2 linked regions of the Mytilus edulis genome follow. The protein of the gene in region 2 interacts with the protein of the main gene of each other region in a pairwise test. Links are inferred from orthologs where the notes say so. Each region holds a gene or a part of one and is shown on either strand. Other genes may lie near its edges.

Evidence for each region.
Region 1: the proteins of proteasome maturation protein-like (region 2) and proteasome subunit beta type-6-like interact in binary tests that used the Homo sapiens proteins (3 or more experiments, as listed by UniProt). The link is inferred for Mytilus edulis from reciprocal best matches to the Homo sapiens genes POMP and PSMB6.

What each region holds. Positions count from the first base shown.
Region 1 is NC_092356.1:29,851,214-29,858,482, reverse strand, and holds the start of proteasome subunit beta type-6-like, read left to right. Parts: upstream 1-4,250; 5' UTR 4,251-4,295; coding exon 4,296-4,382; intron 4,383-6,940; coding exon 6,941-7,008; intron 7,009-7,269. UniProt on the Homo sapiens protein: Component of the 20S core proteasome complex involved in the proteolytic degradation of most intracellular proteins. This complex plays numerous essential roles within the cell by associating with different regulatory particles.
Region 2 is NC_092351.1:6,550,797-6,558,590, forward strand, and holds the start of proteasome maturation protein-like, read left to right. Parts: upstream 1-4,792; 5' UTR 4,793-4,807; coding exon 4,808-4,822; exon of another isoform or gene 4,823-5,023; coding exon of another isoform or gene 5,024-5,035; intron 5,036-7,794. Other genes in the region: vascular endothelial growth factor receptor 1-like, read right to left, coding at 4,391-4,466. UniProt on the Homo sapiens protein: Molecular chaperone essential for the assembly of standard proteasomes and immunoproteasomes. Degraded after completion of proteasome maturation. Mediates the association of 20S preproteasome with the endoplasmic reticulum.

The DNA.
Region 1 (7,269 bases), on a different chromosome or scaffold from region 2:
AAACAAACAGACATCAAAGGTTAAAATGTCAAAATAATGTTACAGCAAAACATAAACAAATTACAAAAATGTCAAACAAACCTAATAACTATTGTCATAGCGTGTATAAAAATCTCTGTGCAATATTTCTTCAACCACTGACGTCATAAAGAATTTGTTGGGTAGATCGGCAGAAAATAATGTAGGAATAATTCAAATAGCAGTTTCTATCTGACAACATACAGACCTGTAAAGTGAAGAAGAAAGACAAGTTATCTCTAGAATAAATAACTATGTCATAACTCAAAAGAGGAAGACAACAAATACTTAAAAAAACAAAAACAGTGTTTGTTATCTCCTCTCAGCAGAAAAAGTTACCTCTGTCAGTGAAATGAAAAATGGATATGTTGTCTTAACTCAAGACAAAAAAAGAACTGATAAAATTTAAAGAAAAGGGAAAGTGCTATAAATGTTTTTCTTCCTCTCAAAAGTAACATTTATCTTACTGCAAGTTCATTACAGTATTGTAAATACTTAGTACAGAAATTATTGTGTGCATATATTATTGCGATTTTGTCATTTTTAGTTTAAAATGTGATTTTATTTTTTGCAATATTGAGAAATATCCTGTTTAATTCATGTAGCAAATTTCTAGTTTAAATTATGGCTATAATAACCCTTTTGCATTTTTCACAATAATAAAACCATTGCTATAATTTCTGAATTTACAGTACTTATAGCACTTGGTTTGCGTGAATTTTTTTTGCTATAGGTTAAGTTTGATGAGGAATGTACAAGATTTTTCTGTCCTAGTATTAGCTAATTCAATCTAGCTGTATTTGGGTGGTGATGGCAAACTGTTTATATAGTCAGTTTAATTTTTTTGTGATTTTTGGCACAAAACTGGAAAATTGCTTGGTACAACCTCTCCCTTCCTCAGTTTCTCAGCTTCATATAGAAAAGTTTATATTTTTCTGACATTGACCTTATATTGTATATTTAGAGAGATGTGACATGTTGTATAGACAATTGTCTATTGTTAAAGACCGACTGTATGTTGACATCTAGGTGTCTTTTAATTTACCCCACATCTCCTTTATTATATTTTGGATTTTTTTGCTGAAATACTGTTGCAATATAAATGTTTAGTTTTCATCAGTAACATTTTTTTTAGTACAAAGTTATAGGTCAGACACACAGCATCTTTCAATGCAAAATAGCTGAATTCCTTTCTTCAACCTTATTTTTGATGAGAAATATCCACCAATTAGTAAAATCAGCCAAATTCAAAACTATATTACTTGTTTAAAATCTTGTTATGCCCTGCCTACATATCATTTTTCAACCTGTGTCAATTTGTTGTTTCCTTATCAAGTTAAAAGTTTTGGGTTAAGTTGTAGTGTAATGTGAAGTTGAAATCAGTATGACACTTGGTGTATATGTTTATTTATGATGTAAACTTTTAAAATATATGCTATCTGGTGTAGAGCCAGGGTTAGCAGTTAATAATGAACATGGAAATGTGATTGTCTAAAATCTTATTGTTCTAAGTTCAGAGTTTTGGTTTTAGGTGGTTTACTTATATAAGTTGTGGTTACATTAACATGAAAATTAGGGCACATGTTTATTTTGATGTTACCTTTGTAAATCATATCCCAAATTAGGGTTTAACCCTGATTTCATGGTTCAATGAACTCAAATGTGATAATAAGCAGAAGGGCACACAGTCGACTGGTACCCGGCTGTTATTAAAAATCTTGATAATAGGAAGGCAATCAGCATACTGAATATTTAACGGAGGGAACCAACATAGGCGCATAGTATTATGTTAAATCTTTTTTATTGTTTTATAAGCTAAATGAGCAATGCTGTTGGCCAAATTAACAGATGACATAATGAAACAACATTTGTTTCCTGGTGTTTTTTATCTTCAAGAGGCAGATCAAGTAATTCAAATTGAACTTTATAAATTACTTATGCAAGAGCAAATTGAGACCTGTTGGATAGATATGATTTAAAAGAAAGTATATCAGCCTTGTACATCTCTAATTTTGATAATACTATTGAGTAATGAAACAATATAAAAAAAAAAATATAAAAAAAAGACTTCTCTATATTGTGTAATTTCCTTGATCTAGGTTAATTAACAGTTCTTAAACTATTCATATAAGATTTGGGTTCCTAAATGAAACGTTTCAACTTTGCAGGACTACACATGGTGACATTACAAATCTATTCCACTAAGGCTATATACAGTATTCGATCAAATCAGATTGATACGATTAAAATTATGTACAATCGTTGAGTCTGGTATTAATGTGTTGTCTGTTGCCATGAGTGAAAATCTTCAACTTATAATTTTCAACAACCTAAGTCCTTGGCATGTAATATGTTCCATTTCATGATTGTTCTTGGAAAGAAAGAGTTCCTTTAGACTTCACTGGTGATCCTCTGTTGTTAAAACTTGTGTGTTCAATCATCATGACCTCTACTGTGGCCACCTTTGAAGTAAGTTCTCTTGTTGATATCTATCAGCTCATTGTGAATACAATTAAGCATGCATAGCATGTTATCACGGTCTAGAGATGACTCACAAGGAAGGCTATAATTTTTAAACCAAGACTTACCTATAAATCAAATCAAATTCTATCAATTCTTGATAACATTGAAAGTAAAGATGCTGGTCTACAGTTGTTCATCTCGTAACATCGCCACTTTCATGGATAAGGGTACTCTAGCTTGCATATAATTATAAAGGTTGATGGAAAAATAACTGCAAAGGCTTAGATTAATAAAAAAAATATGCACACTAGATTCCTAAATCAATGGAGCACTAATATTTCAAGAATTTTTGAACCAACAGCGTCAAAACACGTAGAGTTATTAATTAGTTCATTAAAGAGTTCTATTGAATATAAACAATCACATTCAAATTAGTTGTTACCTATCTTTCTTTCAATTAACTTTTCTAACTTGGGTGATTTAAAGTTTAATTTGGGGTTGGCAATAATTGATGTAGCTACAGGTGTCATACCACCAAATCATAGTACATCACATCCTGTTTCATATAAAAAAAAGGGCCGAAATATATATATATCCCTTGAATTAGGAAGTCTTGTAGGAATACAAACCCTACATTTCATTGCAGTAAATATTTTTTAAGTCTTAGGTGTTTCAAAACAACTGTACGCATATTTTTTTATTTAGTGTTTCTATTCTGTATTCTGTATCTTCATATATTCTGCCAATATATGTACACCTTCAGTACAATGTAATAAATCCAATATAAATCCAATCACCAATAGAAATATAATACAGTCTGTACACAATACAAGTATGTCGACAATATATTCCTTCACCAGAATCACACATCAAGTCTTAATTATAAGATTTAAAATATATTTTCTTTTAAATAATAATAACTTGCAGTCCGCACAAAACTAATACTTAGCTAAATTTGACTTTCTTAAGATTTATATAAAATATTTTGAAAATTTGTGAACAGAAAAAAAAGGGATGAACATTTTAATTTATACTTCTGGTGATAGTTATTATCTTATATGAATGAAATGTTATGTGGTATTTTAACTGTACGTATATTGTATTGAACAGGATAAAAATTTGAAACAAAGATACCCCAGTAAATTCAGCATAATTTTGAAAAATGCCTTATATAAATTACTATAATAGGTGAAAAACAATCCTACTTATATTTGCCTTATATAAATTACTATAATAGGTGAAAAACAATCCTACTTATAATTACTATAATAGGTGAAAAACAATCTACTTATATTTGCCTTATATAAATTACTATAATAGGTGAAAAACAATCCTACTTATAATTACTATAATAGGTGAAAAACAATCTACTTATATTTGCAATTTAAGAAGAGTCACTTATAATCACAATGTTAACAATATTTATTGGGTAGATTATTATCTTTGGTGCAGATAATTATTCGATGTGTAAAAGTTAAAAAGAAAAATATCTTACAATAGAACTTTGATGTAGTGCAAGTTCTTTTTAAAGTATTTTTCACATATTGTGTCAAGGGAGACAACCATTTAATTTTTTTTTTTTTTTTTTTTTTAACACAAAAACAAAATTGAGACAATTTCATTGTTTTTTTTCCAAAATTCATCCCCACCCACTTAATTTGCACTACCATTTACAAAAAATATCCTGCAAAACAAAGTATTTTTCAAGTTTTTTACAATTTAATAGTACATTGTTGTACTAGGTTTCACAATATTATAAACGGTCTTTAACTGTTTCTTTTAACCAGAGTTATTTCCCTTTAAAATTTGTGAAAATGGCAACGATGACTAGCAACTTTTCACCGGCAGGAATGTATTCGCCTTCTATTCCAGACTGGCTGAATGCAGAACATGAAACAGGGGTAAATGATACTTGTTACCTTGTTAACTTGTTTATATGAAGCTTATAAAGTATGTCCACAATGATACGAAAAGTTACAAGCCTCAGTTCCGTCGATGAGTTTCTCAAAAAATCGTTTCTTGTACTCTTAGTTTACTAATGCTTTGTATTCTCCCCATATAACATTTTTCTTGTAGTCCTTCACTTTACGAAGCAGCATGTATCTCATTGTATTGTCTAAAGTACATCCGATTATTCATTGATGTGAAATAAATTATCTAAATTTTAATTTTTAGGATTTATGATTTTATAACTTATTTTTTTGCTGCCTACCAACACAATACAATCAGAAAAACAGCTTTCCTCAATCTCAATTTTGCATTACTTTATTATTAAACTAAAGTAACAGCCATCAGCAGGATTTGATTCTGAAACCTCAGTATGTAAAGACAGCAACCCACTGCAGAAACAAAGAAGACAGTGTTCTCCCCAGGCCGATATGACGCTGCGGCAATGCAACGCCTTCATAATATTTTCGAAGATGCCGCAGCGTCTTAATTGTCCGCTGTCCCTTAATACTTGATCCCGCAGCGTGTTAATTTTCACAATTTCATTATAAATGTTGGTTAAAATTGTGTAGTTGCTGATCACCGCTGTGAGGTCGGTCAGTGTTACGCAATAACTGATAATTAGTTTTACCTGAGGCACGCTTATCTCAGCCTTATCGGACTATGTTATCATGTAATAGCGTACATGATCATCAAGAAGATAGATATTTGTAGAAGAAAATTTAAAAAAATAAAAACTTCAGTGCAGAAATTGAAGAAATAGATCGCAAATACATAAAATGTACATTGTATTTACGCATTGTGTGTGTGATCACTTGACCATTTAAATAACGAATTTTTTCATTGGTCGAGAAGAAGAATCTATTTTAACACGACCAATGAACGTGATGAATACACGTGATAAATTTGAATACACATTGCTATGATGAAAAATTATGAATGAGAGTATTTGTAATTGAAAAAAATAAAATAAACTTTGATTAAAGATAAAGAGAAGTGATTCATTTTACTATAAAGTGAAAAAATGTTACTTGCAAGGTATATTGTCTCAAACTGTCGTGTTTTTAGAAATAAAATGATCATTGAACATCGATCGTAAAATTCCGTTCGTCGGGAAATATGTGACAATCAACACGGGTACGGAATTGCTGCAGCTTCTATATAATGTCACTAGTTGATAATTTCAATGGTCTTAACTTTAAAAAAAACTTGCAAAGTTTCGTTTATATCTACCTGCCAGAGATAGGTTTTAACAATAATACACACGGAAGCGTAATGTAAAACTACGGAAACTTGTCAGCTGTTCTTTTTTAAAAAGTTGTATACCAAATATGATCAAATATCTTAACCATATTCGATTTTATTAATTCTGAATGAACATGTTTTCTGCAAATAACAAAAGGGTGACTTCTAAGCAAAAGGCAGATGATGGAAGTAGAAGTTTTTTTTCTCTCAGCCTAATGACTTCTAATGAAAAGGGGAATACACCTTCCTCTTCGCTGTCAGTATAAGCAGATGTCATTGCTTCTCCTAATCCCAACCTAGCTAAAGTTTTAGCAAGTGATAACAGCAAGCACCGTTTCTGGTTTCAATGACAAGTGGCTGACTGAGTTTTCATGGCTTACAAATGTTAAAGGGGGTATAACCAAAAGTTATTGTGAGAGGGGGTTTTCAACCCTAAAGAGGATAAAGACAAAATTGAGGAACAGACTGTCCAACAAAATAACACTATCTTGAAACATTATCCCTAGAAGGAGCAGAGAGTACAGAGATGAATATTTATATTTTGACTTATAAATAACTTTTGTGTTTAAAATCAATTTATTTCACATTCATATAATAACATAAGGAGTTATAAGGTTTTATCATTGATAAATAGTTATCAAAGGTATTGGTCAGGATTATAATTTAGTACGCCAGATAGGCGTTTCATCTACATAAAACTCGTAAAGTTAACGTTTGACATTGAGATCTATGTCAGAATATGAGGAAACATTCTCATTTTGGGTGTGTGAACTTTCAAAATTTGACTTTTTGAGTAGATATTTGTTTCTTTTTACAAAATCATCTTTGTTTCAACTAGGACATGTAGGACTCGAACCTCAGACATCTATGCCGTGTTACCAGGCAGCGCATAAACCTACTGAGCAAAAGAAGAATTTATGGCTGACTTGGTATCTACCACATTTACTCAGGCATTCAGGGAAACAATCCTTTTACCACTTCAAGTCATTATACTCTATAATGATATCTTCTTTTTTATATATATAATTCCCTGGGCCGACTTGGTAATTCTTCCAACTGTGGGTTTTTCAGTGTTAGGCACCAATGTTACTAGAGAGCATGATTCTTACAAAATCATCTTAAGTCTCCACAATTTGTCCACTGGGACTTGAACCCGAGACCTCTGTGTTACAAGTCATCTTTGGGGGTTTGTTTCCTTGTTATGTCCAATTGTTTCTTAAGCTAATTTTGACGATATAATTATAAAAGATGCATGTTATAATTCCAGACAACAATTATGGCCGTTGAATTTGATGGAGGTGTAGTAATTGGCGCAGATTCAAGAACTACCACTGGGTAAGTGTAAACACAAATACATTCATGTATGTTATCATGGTTACTGACGGTGTGGAATACAAACTGCCAATAACTAATATATACATGATAATCAATCATATATGCATTTAACATGTTTAATGCATCAGTATATTTGAAGTAGATTTGATAAGCATTCTAAATATATTTTATAGTCAACTTCCAGTAAGTAATTTAGGATTGACTTTTGTAAGGTCCGAAAGTTGATACTATATACAATTTCTTGAAATCCTTCATTTCCTC
Region 2 (7,794 bases):
TCAGCCAATTGTCAGATACCCTTGTACAATGTTGTACAATCAGCCAATTGTCAGATATATATAATTTTATTTGCCTCCTATTGGAGAGTATGAAACAAAGCAAAGACAATTACAATTAATCATATACAAACAACACGAGTTATGATTTACACAGAGACAGTCAATAAAGACGAGATCACAACGAAAAGTTCAATTATTTACATAGAACAGGCTATTATTTAAACTTGGAATTATTTTTAATTATGGAATTTGTTAAATTTTCTGTGCTGGAAATTTTTAATAAATTCCATGTTTATTTGGTATAATTTTGTTTTGAGCAGTTCATAACACTTTCCATATAATGTATTTTGTATAGATAGTGTTGTGCGCGGCACAGTACATTCTATTGAAAATGTACTATCTTCTTTGTAAATGAAAGTGTTGTGCGCAGCACAGACCATTGAAGTACAGAATAAGCAAGGAATTTACTAGAAATTTCAAGCACAAGAAATTATAAAATTTCCATAATTAATAATAATTCCAAGTTTAAATAATAGCCTGTTATATGTTCATTACAGTTTGAAGATAGTTTATGTACTTCTAGCAGCAGTTGCGGTTCTGTAACAATTTACAAGAATTGTAGATAAAGTTCATACACGTGAAGTTAAACTGTTCACGTTCTTTATTCTGTAGATCAAAATCGGTGTCACAGGCAAGAATACAATTAAGCAATTTATTGTCAGTCATATTTCCTAAGTGAACACTAAATGAAATCGGGTTTATGTCTATAACACTCCTCCAAAATTGATCTCGAGCATCAACTGTATAGTCACATGATAGTATCGCATGAGTACAAGGATCATCAAAAAGTTTACCACATTTATCGCACAGTATTCTGTTGTTTTGTAAGTTCTCGCGTATAAGACAGCACGTTGATGTTACAAAATGGGCCTGTCTGCGCATCAGTGGGTGACGCAGTGCTACTCTCCACGCCGCATGCGGTACACAAAACGAGTGAATGTCTTTGAAAACAACAAAATCAGGATCCACTGCCATACGATGATGCCACTTTACTACCTCAACCTGGTAAATTGACGTCTTGACTACCGATTTCCAAATTGCCGAACTTGGGAATTGTCCATCATTGAGAAACTGATCTAGATATTTCGATAAACCATATTTTGTGAGTATTTTAATAATGTCACAAGCGAAACCTGATCTTGTGTCATATTGATTATATCTAGCATCAATGAGTCTACGGAGAAGAATACGGAATGAGACAGCTGAGTATGGAAGGCGACATGTTCTTCCAAAAAACAACAGTTTTCGTTCACATATAAAACTTTCAATTGAAAGCCATCCTAATAATGACACACACATGTCGCTTCTTGTTCTTCTTGGTAAACCTTGTATAAATTTACAAATATAGTGGTGAGTTCTTTCAAGCATCAGTATTTCAGTGCAGGTAAGTTTTCCCCTGAGTTCACAACCGTATAGTGCTTTCGGATAGCAGAGCTGACGTATAATCTTTGCACATTAATTGGATTTACAATGGCTGGGTGTATTCCAAGGCGTATAACTGATGTCGTTGTCAAGCGCAAGGTGCGACAAGCTTTAAGAGTTCTGTCCATTGTTTTTAAAGATGTATCTAGTTGAATACCAATATGTCGAGCAGAAGTTACATAGTACATCAGCCAATTGTCAGATACCCTTGTCCAATGTTGTACAATCAGCCAATTGTCAGATACCCTTGTCCAATGTTGTACAATCAGCCAATTGTCAGATACCCTTGTCCAATGTTGTACAATCAGCCAATTGTCAGATACCTGTACAATGTTGTACAATCAGCCAATTGTCAGATACCCTTGTACAATCATACAGAATAGATTGGTGTTAAGCATGTCTGTCAGAAAAGTCATGTACATGTACAGAAACTAGCAAAAACAGACCATGTTCTTAATTTGACTGTTGGTAACTCACACATTAGAGATGTTAATTGCGAAAAGCTCCTTGGGGTTTTTATTGATGAAAATCTTGAGTGGACAGCCCAAATTGACACTTTGTGCACAAAAATCAGTACCAGACTAAATCTTTTGTCTAGGATAAAGAAATCCCTCCCCCTAGAAACACGAAAGTTATACTTTAATGGTTATATTCTCCCTATTTTGGATTACTGTTGTACAATTTGAGGAAACACCAGTGACCAAAATACAAATAGATTAGATAAACTTCAAAAATGAGCAGCTAGAATTATTCTTGAACTTCCTTATGATACCCCATCAAATACAATGTTTAAAAAGTTATCATGGCTTCGATTTACTGATCGTGTAATTTACCACAAGGCCTTATATGTTCATAGATGTTTATATGGATCTGTCCCAGAATATTTGTCTAACAAAATCTCCTATGTTACAAATAAAAATGGAATGCAACTTAGATCAAATACTACCCAATTACTTAATATACCAAAGGCAAGAACAAACACATATATAGAAGATCTTTTTCATATTCTGGCCCAACTTTATGGAATAAACTACCAGAAGCACTAAGACATATGTCAAACATAAATACTTTTAAAACAAACTGGTTTAAGTTTTTACTTGAAAATCCAGGAATTATTTAAATGACTATGTATCAATTTTGATTTATGTTTTCTTATGTTTATCTTTGTTATGAAGAAATTGTGTGAATTGCATTGTGAGTGGAGTGTGAGGGCCTCAAGGGAGAATAGTGTTTGTACTAATTGAGCATACCCTCTTGAAATAAAGATTATTATTATTATTATCATGTACTTTGTATGTGGTTGTAATGTAAAGTTCAATAGGTTTTATAATTCTCTGTGGTTCTACGTGGTCTCATGATCAGTATTAGGCAAAAGATGTGTATGTACATGTATCTATATACATGTATATATACATGTATGTAAAAAAAATAAATCATGTGATATATACATTGTTCATGTATAGGTAAATATACACTTGGAGAAGACATTTCTTACTTGAAAAAATTGTGTCTAATTGGTTTGTCCTTATACATGTATATATTGAACAATAAAATATGTAAACTATAATTGTTTTACATGGTTAAATTTCACTTTTAAACTGGACATTTAAAAAGATACTCTTTGTGAAATACATGTACATGTACACAAATGTATGTATATTTCTCAGGTTTACGATGATTTTGGTTAGACCTACTGTGGCTAAAGGCACACAATGTAGTGTAAACTTGTATATATATATCATGTATATTACAGATACAAAAATAAGAGAGATATGGGGTATTTATCAGTGTTTATGGAATTGATTAAAGTTACAACTTTGACAAAATTAACTAGACTAGGATTCAACTAACTATCAGAGACATATAATACAATGTCTCCCCAACTATATAGCAGACACGTGCTAATACTGTACATGTATGTACAAAAGTGTATGTCAAGCTCTTACAATGAGTGTACATGTACATGTATGTCTAGACAAATTGTGAATGAAATTACGAAATTAAAGACTTAAGACCTACAATCAATATAACAGTTTCTATGGGCAAAAGTCACTTGGATACATTGGGGTATGTACAATGTATGTGTCTTATTCTAATAATAGTAATCTCTATAAACCAGCCTTGCATAGGAAAACTATCCTCTTGTTAGCCTGCAGCCAGAGGGAACACATTTTATTTCATGACTTGTAAAATAAAAACACATTTATACATGTATGTCTGCTACATTTTTTTTGTTTGTGTACATTTATTTTATTCTAAACATGACTTCAGAAAGAAATTTTGAAAAAGGATGCTGGCATTCAATGAAAAGCATGCACTTTAAATAGTGACTTACATTTATATTAAAGGCTAAGTGTTTCCATTTAGCTTTGTCTTTAGATATATAAAATGTATGCATGTAAAATGTAGATACATGTATAAGAAGATGTGGTATGAGTGCCAATTATACAACTCTGCATCATCATGATCATTGTCCATTTAAGTCACAATTTATATTTAAAGTACTGTAAACCATTGAAGGTCAAAGTTCAGTCTTCAACATGGAGCCTTGGCTCACACCATACAGCAAGCTACAAAAAAAAATGTATAAAGGGCCCCAAAAATGACCAGTATAAATTAACCATTCAAACAGGATAACTGCCAGTCTAATCTATAAAAAAAAACAAGAAACAATTTAATGTCAAGTTGCACAATATATATGAACCACAACAACAAAAGACAACCACTGAACATCAGTTTTCTGACTTAGGGACAGTTGCAAACACATGCAGTATGTTTAAACGTTTTAATAGGTACATGTACATTTGTACCAACCTTCACCCTTACCTGAAACAATATTGTAACATCACAACATAAAAAGACATACATTGCACATGCACTTGGTGAAATAACTTATTGTTAAACTTACGATTCTGAAAGGTATCTACTGATATTATCCAAAAAATCACGAAACAGCATACATGTTTTGAATGTGTATAATCCATTTTCAGGTAAAAAAAATGTTCAGGTGCTTTAAACTTTTTCTGAAGCAGTTAAGAGCTAATTTCCATATCCATGAACATATAATCAAAAGATAATGTACAATTTATATTTAAATACACACTTATTCCATATCTAAAAACGTAAAAATCAGACTTAGTGTGATTTATGTGTCATTTTCACTTTCTATTTATCAACGTTTTTCTCATCAAGCATATCAAAGGAGTTCCTTTTGGCTAATCCAATTATCTCCCCAAAATCAGAAAAAAACTCAGTTGATAATTATTCCCACAAACTATTACAGAAAGCGTAAAAATATTCAACTGAATCTACCAAAACCGCTTTGATGTGTAGTTTAAGGGTATGTAGTTTAAGGGTAGTATTAACAATGTTTGAAGAAAAATACAAATTTAAAAGCTCGCAGGAGGTAAAAGTATCAGCCTCTGAGTAAAGGGGTTCCCCGTTCCCGGAGTCTTCGGACTTTTTCATGTTTGAGTACGATAAATCTCGTAACTGGGGAAAGCCCACTTAATGCGCAAGATAGGAAGTTTAATTTACCAACATGGCGAACTTGGTAAGAAACCTGACTTGCAATTTTGATTGAAATGATTTCAAAGCGGCTTGCGCTTATAAATGCTGTTTTAATTAATGAGTATAGTCAATTTTATTGTTTCCTGACTCTGAAAACAACACAAATTATTTTCACTTGCACCCAAGTAGTTGTTTCCCGTGTTAAATGCGAATAAAATTATTTTGATGACCCTTTCTTTTGAAGCTTCAAGTCTTTTGAGACGTTTCGGCCACACAACCAGTTCGACCACATGTAGTTTCTTTCACAGGACTAGTTCGACCACAGTTGTAAAGGCAAAAGTCGGTGTGCCAACATTTGATCTATTTATCTATCTACATGTATCTTCATATTTCCACACTCAGTGGATTGTTATCCTATGTACATGATGTATATTAAAGTTAAGAAGATGAAACTAAAGGCTAAAGCAAACTTTATTGCATATAATTTATTTGTTTCAGTCTGCAGACTACACGTGGTACCTCGAATGACCGAAAAACACTGTTAATTTCAAAATACTTGTAATGACAGAATAACACTTTTTAATATTAGCACATATTGGTGACTTTTAAATATTGATTATTAAATAAAAGTATATTATCGATGTATTTTATGACTTATAAATGATTTACAGCTGAAAGCAGATAAGTTCATTAAAAACTTTTAAAATTATGACGACCACGGACATCACAATGGACACCATGTTCTCTGTACACATTAAATTTAAAATGATCTTTATGAACTTATCTGCTTTCTGAAAAACATTTTTGTGTTATAAGATACATCGATAATATACTATTATTTAATAATCAATGTTTAAAAGTCACCAATATGAACTAATATTAAAATTTCAAGTGTTATTCGGTCATTACAAGTGTTATTCGGATAATAACAGTGCTATTCGGTGATTCGTGTTACCTGACTACAAGTATAGCACATTATATATCTTTTAATTGGAACTTCACAATAGTGTGTCTTCCATTAATTATTCAGAGACTAGACAGAAACTCATACATGAGATATACTTTAACACGGGATCGTTACATATTGATTTGGCCAGCTTCCATTGTCAGACATGCAGAAACTGGACATGAGTTATTTGAATGTTCATACAAATGAAATTTATTTTTCAATGTCAAAACTTACCAAGACTAGGAAGACTGGTTCACAACTATAACATTTAGTTCATTCCCTGAGAATCTTAAAGTTGTTCAATGTATCTTAAGACTACATTTGTACATTGATAAAACAGTGAGCCTTCCTTCTAATGATTGTTATCAACTGCCCATTAGTTTTATTAAACCTCACAAACCTGTCATATCATGCACAATTCAATTGCCTATTGGTTAAAACGTATACAAGAATCTGCAGGCGTAGATACTGATATTTTCAAACAACATTCAACTCGGGTGCCAGTTCACTAAAACAAACAAGTTTGGAACCTAGACTTTGTTTTTGCTTAAATTAAAATTATAGAAATCCTTGATATAAGTAAATATTTGTACTCACATTTAACATACAATATTGTTATACCACTGCCAAAAAAATATGCAATCATATATTGGTATCACGTCGTTGTCGTCAGCGTTGTCTTTGTCTGAAGACATTTGGTTTCAGGACAATAACTTGAGTATAAGTAAATAGAAATCCATGAAATTTAAACACAAGGTTTATAACCACAAAAGGAAGGTTGGGATGGATTAACAGTTGATGAATTAGGGGCCTAAATACATTTTAGCATTTTTAGCTCACCTGGCCTAAAAGGCCATGTGAGCTTTTCTCATCACTTGGCGTCCGTCGTCGTCGTCGTCGTCGTCGTCGTCGTTAACAATTTTTCAAACATCTTCTCCTCTGAAACTACTGAATGGATTTGAATGAAACTTAAGATGATTGTTCCTTAGTATATCCTGCACAAAATGTGCGCTTCGATTTTTGATCCGTCAAAAAACATGGCCGCCGTTACTTAAAATAGAACATAGGGGTCAAATGCAGTTTTTGGCTTATATCTCAAAAACGAAAGCATTTAGAGCAAATCTGACAAGGGGTAAAAATGTTCATTAGGTCAAGATCTATCAGCCCTGAAATTTTCAGATGAATCAAACAAACCATTGTTGGGTTGCTGCCACTTAATTGGTAATTTTAAGGAAATTTTGCAGTTTTTGGTCATTATCTTGAATATTATTATAGATAAAGATAAACTGTAAACAGCAAAAAAGATCAGCAAAGTAAGATCTACAAATAAGTTAATTTGACCAAAATTGTCAATTGACCCCTTAAGGGGTTATTGTCCTTTAATGACAATTTTTCACAATTTGTTCATCATATTTGCTAACTTTAAAAAATCTTCTCCTCTGAAACTACTGAATGGATTTGGTTAAAACTTAGCATGATTGTTCCTTAGATTATCCTGCACAAAGTGTGTGCTTTGATTTTTGATCCGTCAAAAAACATGGCCGCCGTTACTTAAAATAGAACAGGAGTCAAATGCAGTTTTTGGCTTATATCTCAAAAACGAAAGCATTTAGAGCAAATCTGACAAGGGGTAAAAATGTTCATTAGGTCAAGATCTATCAGCCCTGAAATTTTCAGATGAATCAAACAAACCATTGTTGGGTTGCTGCCACTTAATTGGTAATTTTAAGGAAATTTTGCAGTTTTTGGTCATTTTCTTGAATATTATTATAGATAAAGATAAACTGTAAACAGCAAAAAAGATCAGCAAAGTAAGATCTACAAATAAGTTAATTTGACCAAAATTGTCAATT